Linked DNA regions of Arabidopsis thaliana. The protein of the gene in region 1 interacts with the protein of each later gene in a pairwise test. Each region holds a gene or a part of one and is shown on either strand. Other genes may lie near its edges.

Evidence for each region. Proteins that work in one complex are often made in the same cells at the same time.
Region 2: the proteins of AT3G01340 (region 1) and AT3G16230 interact in a two-hybrid assay, tested with the Arabidopsis thaliana proteins (one large-scale study listed by BioGRID).

Annotation. Positions count from the first base shown.
Region 1 is NC_003074.8:126,595-131,238, reverse strand, and holds AT3G01340 (Transducin/WD40 repeat-like superfamily protein), read left to right. Parts: upstream 1-2,244; 5' UTR 2,245-2,347; exon of another isoform or gene 2,348-2,359; intron 2,360-2,755; 5' UTR 2,756-2,773; coding exon 2,774-3,682; 3' UTR 3,683-3,884; downstream 3,885-4,644. Other genes in the region: AT3G01345 (uncharacterized protein), read right to left, coding at 520-1,920; DEL3 (DP-E2F-like protein 3), read left to right, coding at 4,434-4,528, 4,608-4,644. UniProt on the Arabidopsis thaliana protein: Required for protein transport from the endoplasmic reticulum to the Golgi apparatus.
Region 2 is NC_003074.8:5,497,858-5,504,254, reverse strand, and holds AT3G16230 (Putative eukaryotic LigT), read right to left. Parts: upstream 4,202-6,397; 5' UTR 3,983-4,201; intron 3,889-3,982; exon of another isoform or gene 3,765-3,888; 5' UTR 3,693-3,764; coding exon 3,667-3,692; intron 3,637-3,666; exon of another isoform or gene 3,497-3,636; coding exon 3,448-3,496; intron 3,310-3,447; coding exon 3,186-3,309; intron 3,119-3,185; exon of another isoform or gene 3,098-3,118; coding exon 2,976-3,097; intron 2,893-2,975; coding exon 2,855-2,892; intron 2,780-2,854; coding exon 2,700-2,779; intron 2,564-2,699; coding exon 2,496-2,563; intron 2,388-2,495; coding exon 2,108-2,387; intron 2,017-2,107; coding exon 1,904-2,016; intron 1,825-1,903; coding exon 1,759-1,824; intron 1,653-1,758; coding exon 1,562-1,652; coding exon of another isoform or gene 1,500-1,561; exon of another isoform or gene 1,456-1,499; coding exon 1,388-1,455; coding exon of another isoform or gene 1,373-1,387; exon of another isoform or gene 1,265-1,372; coding exon 1,224-1,264; intron 1,136-1,223; coding exon 952-1,135; 3' UTR 682-951; downstream 1-681. Other genes in the region: AT3G16220 (Putative eukaryotic LigT), read right to left, coding at 5,187-5,393, 5,500-5,564, 5,663-5,753, 5,827-5,892, 5,988-6,100, 6,178-6,328.

The DNA.
Region 1 (4,644 bases):
GTATTTCCTGTCTTCCTGATAAAGATAATAATCATATAATATTTGGCTATTTGCGTGCCTGATCCTTTATCTACATGGTACGTAAACTAGCACTTAACGAACACATGTTGGTTTCATACGATCTAGTTAATTAAGGTGACTACATGCACTTACACAAAACTTGAATTTAAGTATTTTTATACTAGTGTCATAGAAATATCTGTATTAGTTTGGTGGTACAAAGTTAACATTAAATATGTTAATGCTTGGCTATTCACGAACATTTTAAGATTATATCGTATTATTCTTTTGGTGACTTTCTACATTACATTATAGTATTGACTGTTTGACTCCAAGTGAGTATTTAAATATGACCAAAATATCCATACGTTAGAAAGTTATACTTTTGTTTAATTTCTTTGTTTACCATATAATTTTGACTCTTATATTAGTAACAGTTATGTTTCTTCAGTTATTATATATATGAACAATGATATAAAGAATTCAGTTTTTTTTTTGTCAAACAAAGATCTTCATTCATTAAAATCTCAAAAGAGACAAGTTCATACACAATGAAAATAAGAAATTACAGGAAAATAAGGATAGAAGCTTCATGAGTTTTCTAATGATTGAAAAATCTGTTGAGGCCTTGGCAGATTCGACCATGAAGGCGGGCTTCGCGAAATCCTCGACCATCTTGTGGTCAAAAGAAGCTCTTGCAAACAATGCATCCGAGCTTTTGAAGAAGTGCTCCGTTGAGGAGGCTGACGGGTTAACGAGGTTGAGAAAAAGACGGTAACCACTTCTTGAAGACATGGTCATAATGCCGTACTTTTTCAACATGTCAAGAGATTGCAAATTATCCAAGCAATAGATTAACATGACATGAATGAGCGCGATAAATGGTGAGTGGATAAGTTGAGAGTTTTCAAGGCTTCGGTAACACCTACTCGGTAGAGACAGGGTCATAATGCCGATCCTCTTAACTCTAAAGGCCATTTGCCTATGGGTGGGTAAAGGAGTCTCGGATAGGGTCCAAAGAAAACTTAACATCTTATCTCGACAATGGTAACTACCATTCCCACCTAAACAAACCACTATTCTGATAGCAAGGCGTCCATTACCAGCCCAAACAGAGGTAGAGGGTGCTAAAAGGAGGGAACTCGATAGTAAATTAACGATACTTGGTGTGGGCAGCAACACTCTAGGACACTTCCAAAGAGAAAATAGCTCCAAACGATTCAAGACTAGACTCAAACACTGAAGAAAACGGACCAAACGAGATAGACTATCAACTAGGTTTTGTGAGAGAGAGCTACTAATCCAAGCTAAATCCATCATCACCATCACAGGAAAGCGTCCATTACTCTCCCTAAATGATAACAACATCAAAAAATTTGGGCTTTGTAAAACAGATTTGAAAACAGACCTGGGCCTTAGAGGATATGGGCTTAACCCAGCAGAAGGCTTCATGGGCTTTAATAGTTTAGGTAATGGGTTAGGGGGAGGACAGAAGGGGCTTGGGTTGGGCCCAATGCGAAAACCCTGAGGCAGCATTAGGTTTAGCCGCCAAGCGCATCTTCTCTTTGTCACCAACGACGACGGCGACGGCAAAACGGACTTAGGGTTTACAGCTGCCGAATTGAGGGCGTCAGAGACAAGATCTAACCAAACGAAGTTTGTTTGCGATGAGGCTCGGTCTGCAGAAGTTGGATCTTCCAAGGTAAAGCTCTTCAACAGCTCCGGCGTCAAAGCAAAGCTCCGATCCAGAGGGGAATAGGGAGATGCCGGTATTGACTTCAAGGGGAGCCGAGGAGAGGGATAAACCACGGAGGTCGCAAAGAAGATAAGGGGAGAACTAGCACAAGAAGTGAACGTGTTCAGAGGTATGGTGGTCAAGGTAATCTTTGGATACAAAGGGAGAAAAGACAAGCGAAACATGGGAACACGGGAGAATAGAGAACACCAGATGACATAGCCATTGAGAAGAGAGCGACAAGGGAACGATAGCTCCCGGCACCGGCGAGCAAACGGCTCTACCGGTGCCGGAATTTGTTTGGAAGCTTTGGCCTCGATGAGAGAGAATGAATGAAAAGAATTCAGTTTAAAAATGTCAAATTGGTGTTCTCAATTTTCAACATACCCAATAATACAACTAAACAATATTGAAGGCCCAATACCATATACACGATGGCCCATCTACTGCCTGATAGTATGTAGGGGGTATTAATGTCATTCCAACAAGTAGGGGTAGAATCGGTAATAAGGACACAAACTCGCCTCTTTCGCTTTGTCTCTCTCGTCTCTAAGCAGTAGCAGATCTGAGTTTTGGAGAGTTCAAAGGAAGAAGATAACTCCAATACCAGAGGTTCGTAACGATGTGAGATTTTTCTCTGTTGTTTATGAAGTCTTAGCTCAATTTGATCTTCCAATGAATTTCGTTAAAATTTGCTAGACTTCTATCAGCGCCTGTAGATCGATTTAGGTTATGTACTCTCATTCACATCGGTGGGAAGCGATCAATCTTAGAATCCACGTTTTATAATTTCTCGTTTTGATCTTGTTTTTTTCACAACTTGTAAACATTGCGATGTTGATTGTGTTGATTAATCGCTTAAAATTGAGGTCTGAGTTTAAATAATCCTTGTGCTTACCATATGGTCTTGGCTGTGATAATTTGTTAATTGTTCTGCTTAATAATCTAACACTTTGCTTCGGTTAATGTCTGGATCAACATGCTCATGGTTGTGTTCCCTGTTGATTTGTATTGTAACAGTGAAAGCATTCAGGAAACATGCCTCCTCAGAAGATTGAAACTGGTCATAGCGACACTATTCATGATGTGGTCATGGATTACTATGGAAAGCGAGTAGCAACTGCCTCGTCTGACTGCACGATCAAGATAACCGGAGTAAGCAACAGCGGTGGATCTCAGCATCTAGCTACCTTAACCGGTCATCGAGGTCCTGTCTGGCAAGTCGCTTGGGCGCACCCAAAGTTTGGTTCACTTCTCGCTTCATGTTCCTATGATGGGCAAATTATATTATGGAAAGAAGGTAACCAAAACCAATGGACACAAGCTCATGTCTTCACAGACCACAAAGTATCTGTCAACTCTATCGCTTGGGCTCCTCATGAACTTGGACTCTCCTTAGCTTGCGGAGCATCTGATGGAAACATATCAGTTTTCTCGGCTCGAGCTGATGGCGGTTGGGACACGACAAAGATAGACCAAGCACACCCTGTTGGTGTCACTTCAGTGTCGTGGGCACCGGCCACAGAACCAGGCGCACTCGTTAGCTCTGGTATGATCGATCCGGTCTACAAACTAGCATCCGGCGGGTGTGATAGCACGGTGAAAGTGTGGAAGTTCTCGAACGGGTCATGGAAAATGGATTGTTTCCCGGCTCTCAACAAGCACACGGATTGGGTCCGTGATGTGGCTTGGGCACCGAACTTGGGTCTCCCAAAGTCAACCATAGCCAGTGGTTCAGAAGATGGGAAAGTGATCATATGGACCATAGGGAAAGAAGGTGAGCAATGGGAAGGTACTGTTTTGAAAGATTTCAAAACACCAGTGTGGCGGGTCTCGTGGTCGTTGACCGGTAATTTGTTGGCTGTTTCCGATGGGAACAATAACGTTACAGTGTGGAAAGAGTCTGTTGATGGAGAGTGGGAACAAGTGACTGTTGTTGAGCCATAGATTGTTGTTTGTTTGTTTGGTTATCTTTTGTTTTGTGGTAATATCAAAATGTGGTGTGTTCTGTATACAATTTCTAGGGACCTGTTTCTCTCTATACGTTTCTCAGGAAAGTATATTCTTATGTATTTTAATCAGACAACAGAGATTGCAAAAGAAATGTATTTTTCATAAAACTTTTTAATTCCGATAATGAGTTTTTTTTACTGGTATGATGTTTTTCACATTTTTACCCTTTTATGAGATTCCGATTTTGGCGTAAATTCATTGTAGTTTATAACCAAAATTTAATTGATTTCAATATAAACTCATTTTTAACTAATTAATACTTTAAAAATTTAAGCCTGTTCAACCTTAGTTAATTGTGTTTTTAATCGATCAACTAATTTTCAACTCATTAACCAGCTCGTTTAGCCAGCCACTTGATAAATTTTAATGCTCAATTAGGCATAAAATTTTGATTTACGAAATTTTGCCGATGGCGCTCAAAAAATGCTAATCCGGCTCTGCATCGATTTATAATATTTACCCTTTCAATACTCCGTGTAGTTAAGAGGATCGAGGGTATTTGCGTCATTAACAGTGATAACAAGTGCTAAAGCGATGAATGAAGCGCCTATTTTCACAATTCGAAATCTCTCTCCCCCCGCTTTGGCCCCAAAAAGTTTTTTTTTTTTTTTTTTAATTGCTAAGACAAATATCCGAATCTCAGAAATTTCTCGTCCTCTTTCTCTGTTTTTTGTTTCTGGGGAAAATGTCTTCTGCGATTGTTGTTTCTCAAGATGCGGAATCGCTTGGTCTGCAAATTTATAGCCGCAAGGAGAAATCTCTTGGGGTTCTCGTCTCCAAGTAACACCTCTCTCTCTCTCTTTCACCAGATTTTGCTTTGTTGGATTTATGTGTAATTGATGTCTTATGTACGATTCAGTTTCCTGAGACTGTATAACCGAGACGATGTGGATCTC
Region 2 (6,397 bases), 5.4 Mb from region 1:
ATAACATTTTTCTTATGCATTACAAAAACTTGAGATTTACATAATATATCAGTTTTCATCTCCCTCATTTTTAACTAAAATTTTACCAATTTTTGCTACTTCAAATATATGATCAATGGAAATAAATATTTTGGTAATATAAAAGGGAATAAAAAGTTGTTAGATCGATTAAATCACACGTTAGATATATGAACGATCTTTTGCATAGTGTGCTGTTTTTCTCTAATTAAAAAAATTATGCAAACACGTTAACATATATATAGATATATGTATGTTAACTGGAATGACATGTGTTGATGTTTTACGTTTTACACTTTTTAAAACTCTTATGGTTCTTACTAATTCTAGAAACTCAGTACATCGTTGGTTAATAATTAAGCACATCACTGCTACCTTACCAAATACGCCAAGGGTCGTTTGGATCGGATCATTAATTAATTGTCATATACGTCTATGTATTAGACACTCGTTTAAGCTTAAATAGATGGTGAACTATATTATAATACATAAACAACAATTGCTTAGAGATTTGGTTAGGCCGGTGGAATTATACGAATCTTAAAGAGTTTAATATGCTTGATTTTCGTTGTCCTGCCTCCATTGCCAATAATCTTTCCAATTTTAGATCTGTTGACTTGCATTATTAGTTCATTACTAAATCAATCAATAGCCTCTAATAAAGCTGTAAATAATCATTTTTCTATTAAATGTACTAAGAACCTTTTTATTACCTTGTAGAAAGAGTACAAGAACGTTTTGGCTCGGTTTATTGAACAAAGACCAAGAAAGAACCAAACCGAAGACAACTATTTGGTTAACACAAGATGACCGGTACAACTTTACAATTTTATCAGGTTCTCTTCTCAAAGTTGTAAGTGCTCATACCACGGGACCAAAACCTGTGAAGATGCTTGAGATTTGAGACTGTGGCCGCTGGTTAGATGATTCTTCTCAGGCTCTCTGTTCTCCTGGAAATGGTATTGAACCACAGCAACGGTAATAACCGTTCTGGTCGAACACAAAACGCTGTGAGAGATGAGCTTCTTGGATCAGATATTCTCCCCAGTCTTCGTTTCCAAACTGTTTGTGTATCTCTCTTGCATCAAACGTCTCCATCTTCTTCTTATTGTTCTTTCTGAGACCAAAAGGGTTTTCAGATAATCAGAGGTTTGTAACATTGTTTTCTTTATCTAAACATAAGTCTGGAGTTGGGAATCAATCACCTCCTTTTCCTGTGCCTCGCATTCATCACGGTCACATGCAGCTGCAAAGAAAGGAAAAAGTATGAAACAGAAGCACGATTCACTACTTCCAATTCCATTAGTTCTGAGCCTTTGGCTAACGTTAAGTGACTGCAACAATCTCGTCATACTCAGAAAGCTTTTACCTTCAAGCTTTGCTTTGCATCTTTCTCGAGAACAAGCCCAGCTTTCACAAATGCATCAGTAATAACTTCTGAACTTGGTATTAAGAAAATCGAAAGCATTTACACTAAACTCTTAATTTAACGGTCTAACCATGCCACTACTATAAATAACATTCGTACTAAAATCTAGGATACGACAAGCACGTAAAAGCCGGCCTTCATCACCAATTTCTTCAACAGGAGCATAGAGAACACGAGTCTTGTCTAATGGTCCTCTCATACAATCCTTAAGAATATAGCAAATAAGCAACATGACAGATGAGTGAATAGAAATAAGCTGACCAAGTACATAAATGAATTGTAAAACTAAAGCTAAGGATGTATCATCTTACCAATCCTTTAAGTCTAATGAATACTGGTTTGTTATCCAAAGCATCCATCACACTAGGAAATATACTCTGGATTGTAGAATAGAGAAAACTCAGTTTCATTAAGCATTCCTAATAAATGAATGACATCTCTTCAGAAAGAAATTACCTTCAGAACATCACACGCTGCATTGACACGATCTTTGTTCCATAACTTCAGCATAACCACAGTCAAGTGAAAAGTACTTGGCTTAATAAATATGGACTTTTCAATTCCTAAGTCTGTCAATGTATAAAAAGTTACTGAGCATATCAGAGGGAACACTTTATCTTCTTTCTTAGATCAAATCAAACGACTTCAGTATTTTCTTACCCAATAAAGTAGATGACTTTGATTTGGCCTTAGGCGGGTAACTGACAATTGGTATGCTCTTGATACCCACATTGACCTGGTTTGTTTCACTATTAGCTTTTAGATCAACTGCCACACTTGTGGTTGCTCTATTAGCTTGGTCGTCTTGCTTATCACTAGCTATGCTATGGATCCCGAGGATAGAATTCTGAAAATTCACTAGCTTGTCCACTAACTCAGGATGTATGGCTAATGGAAGTGATACAAAGTGTGAGTAGTCGAGACTTGGACTCCTTACAACCTAGAATATGAATTCCAAAGCGCACAATCAGAACGAAATAAGTAGAACAAGAAGGAAAATAAAAAGCCGAGTATGATAATAAAAGTTCAAAAGGAAACGACAAGGGACCTCATCGATAATGGTTGCTATTCTTTTTGAAGCTTTAGTCACACAATCCACTGAACCGCCTTCAATGCCTGCAAAGAAAAAAGGACACAACAAAACAAGATTTGGTGAACCAAAATCAGTTTAAAAATGGTAGCTAGTCAGCCAGCTAGGATTAAGGGCTCAGATATCAAACTATACATTACAGTTGGTTCCAAAAACTCTTACTGATATGATCTTTGTTCCTTGATGATGGAAGAATGATCTTCACTCCCATTTCCTCTTCAAGTTTCATCTGCGTCGTTCCTCTTTTGCAAAGAATGCAAACCCGTTAGCACGTAAGTATACCTCGAAGGATAAGATTAACAAACTAGAGCTCTTACTCTTTCCCTCTAATGAACTTAATCAAAGAAGCCCCAACCTGAAACCAATTACATAAAGTCTGTTAAGTAGTTGAAACAAAAGAGCACAAAGAAACTTCAAGTAACAGAAGGAACAAAGAACCTCAAGAGAAACTGAATGCTTTCCAGCTGAAACAACTGAAGCTGTCTCTCCTTCAATAACTTCCTTAGAAACATCACTTGATTTGCTACACTGAGCTACTTCTTGGACTTCATTTCCAGCTTCTGTCTCATCATGTGAAAGCCATAAAGGTGGAAACTTTCAAAACCGGGATGGAATATTCGATTAAACTGCTAAATTAAAGATCCTAACCAGCAATAACTGAAGAGGTTTGAGTGGAGATGGGTCTCCACACTAAATTTACCATCTTCTGCTTCTTATATCCATCCATGGCACTCTTCTCACTTCCCCTAAAGCTCAGGATACTAAAAGATTCCTGAAATGTGAAGTGGTGTAGCCACAAAACATCAAATCCAAATTCCACGAAAAAAAATCTCAAATCACTTACAAAGACTAACACTTGCCAAAAACTAGAGTAACAAAATGCCAAGGAGACAACAAATTATTGAATTACCGGTTTCGATTGAAAACATCTACTCGTAAACCCAAATACACGGTCAATCCTACAAAACAAACAACATGAGACATAAACAGAAGAAATAAGACAAAATCAAACGATTTTTCTAATCCAACCATCGCAAGGAAGAAAATAAAATTTTGGGTTTTGTTAGATTGATAAAAGATCATAGAATTCAGAAGAAAGAATCAATTTTTTTTTGAAGAGAAAACGAACCTAAACAGAGTCCTGTAAGCGAACATCTTCCTCTCATTCTCCGGTGATGATTCAGCCGTAAAATATCATTTTCTTCCGCCAGTATTTACGACTATTTGCTGCTAAACCCCATTACGTTTAGAAAATTATATATTTGACCGTATACTTTCAAAAAAAAAAAAGCGAGATCAAAGTATTGAAAAGGGAAATATAGATCTCCACAAATTTCGAAAGAAATATTTACTTCCCCTCCTTTCGGATTTTGTTTTGATTTTTTAGTTCAATTTTTAGAAAACTAATTAAGTTATTCAAAATCAAAACCCTAAAAATTTCTCACCTTATAAAATCCTTTCCATCACAGCAGTCAAATGGACGTGTGTATTCATTCCCATTACTGCATCATTGTTCTTTAGGTGTGTTAACAAGTTTATGGTTCGGATGAAATATTTCGGAGCCTTTTATAACCTCTTTCTGCAAACGCCTTGGATTTTCTTTTGGCTTCATGTTGTTCATTAGAATAATAGCCTTTTCATCTTATTTAAAGAACATCCAAGGTGTTTGTAGAAAAAGGTTTCAAAAAAAGTTATATATAGCCACTTTCTTTTAAGTTATGTTACATAAATCCTCTTACGATGGTGGTCCTCCACAAACAATATGCACAACATTTTGCATGTTGCATTCTTTGAGATTGATATGAATATTGTTTGTGGAGACAACCTTGTCAAGGTTTTAGCGGTTTTAATCGAAACAAAAAAAACACAGAATCTGCTTGACACATTTCTTATACTTTGAGATACAATCAAATATTTATCCTAAGGTTTGTAATCAAACCCTTATCTAGTAAATGATTTATTTAATTGCATACTAAATTCACTCTAGAGTTCCTTTTAGACTTTTCCCTTTTTGCCACTGGTAACTAATTATGAGAAGAAGAAAAAGATGAAAGGTCCTATGAAACAACACATACGACAGAGTTTAAAGAGCTTATTCGTCTAGAAAGAGCTGGTTCGCTTTTTGATCTATCTAGATTTGGCATTCAATTGGTAAAGAGACGAATTAAAGTTACAGATTTATTATGAATCTCTATGTTTTAGGAATTAAAAGTTGGATAGATAATCAAAGTCAAAGATGATTCAAGCCACTAAATATGTATAACTCAAGGATGCGTCTTATGAAGATGGGTTGGTTATTCAAAGCTTGCCTCACATTAGGAGAAATACTTTTGTTTCTAGAAAACATCTACTCGTAAACCCTAATACACCATCAATTCTACAAAATTACCAAAAGAAGTAACATGCGATATAAACAGAAATAATACAAAATCAAACACTTTTCACGAATTTTCTAATCCAATCATCGGAAGGAAGAATATTACTGTCCAAAACTTAACTTACAAACAAAAGTTACACAACACATAGTTACCAATCGCTGTGACACACACATATAAAAACAGTTACACAGTGACATACCATACTTACCTAAGTTTTGACATTAATTTTCCTAATGCAAATCATGTGGAGGAGATTTGATCGTTGTCAATGTCACTTATGTGGAAAAGGTAGTGAAGCGCAGCAATGGAAGTAGCCATTGGGGTCATACTTATAACGTTGTGAGATGTGAGCTTCTCTGATTAGATATGTTCCCCAATCCTTGTTCTCAAACTCTTTGTGTATCTCTCGAGCATCAAAAGTATCCATCTTTTTGCTTTTATCTTTTCTGTAGCTTGCATTCATCAACGTGGCGTGTAGCTGCAAATAAGGAACAAGCATGAAGGAGAAGCTGAAACATTGTTATATCCATCTTTTTCTTTGTCCTAGTCAAAGACGTAAACAACAGAAAAGTGACAAGCATTACCTTCAAGCGTGACTTTGCATCTTTACCAGCAAATCCAACATTCTCAAATGCATCAATGATAACATCTAAACTAGAGAGTTAAAGAGTTCAGAAGCACTTGCATAGTAATTTGAAGTCATGTCTTCACACAAGTAAAAATAAGCGCTTAGAGAAATTAGGATACGACAAGCATTTAGCAGGCGGCCCTCACGACCAACTTCTTCAACAGGAGCATAGAGAACGCGAGTTTTGTCTAAAGATCCACTCATACATTCCTTAACAAGACAAAAAACCATTGGGATTGATTCAAAGATTATGTTTCAAGCCACTAGAAATTGTAGCAATTACCAATCCTCTGAGTCTTATGAAGACAGGTCTGTTTTTCAAAGCTTGCCTCACATTAGAAAAAATACTCTGCTTTTCAGAAAAAGACAACACCTCAATCATCAAAGCAATCCTAAGAAGAAGAACAAGTACACTATGTCTCTTAGAATAGGAATCACTTATACCTGAAGGATATTCTGAGCTTTAACCACAGATTCATTGTTCTCTAACTTTAACATAACCACAGTCAAATGGAAAGTTTTGGGAGTTACAAAGATCGATTTTTCTATTCCCATTTCTGTCCAATATCCAAAAACATGTCATAGAAACATGTTCTACACTTAAAACATTTCTTTATTTGGTTTGTGATCTTACCAGCTAAAGTACTCTGAAACTTCAATGGATCCTTATCATTGTTTCCCAATACAGAATTCTGAAAAGCCTCGATATTTTTCGTCAAGTCAGGGTATATGGCTAATGGAAGTGACACAAAATGTGTGAACACTTCTCTCTGACCTTGTCCAATCTACAAAGAATTTGAGAATTCAAGTGTACACAGCAAGTAAAAAAAGATCCAAAGTATAGCAACATATTA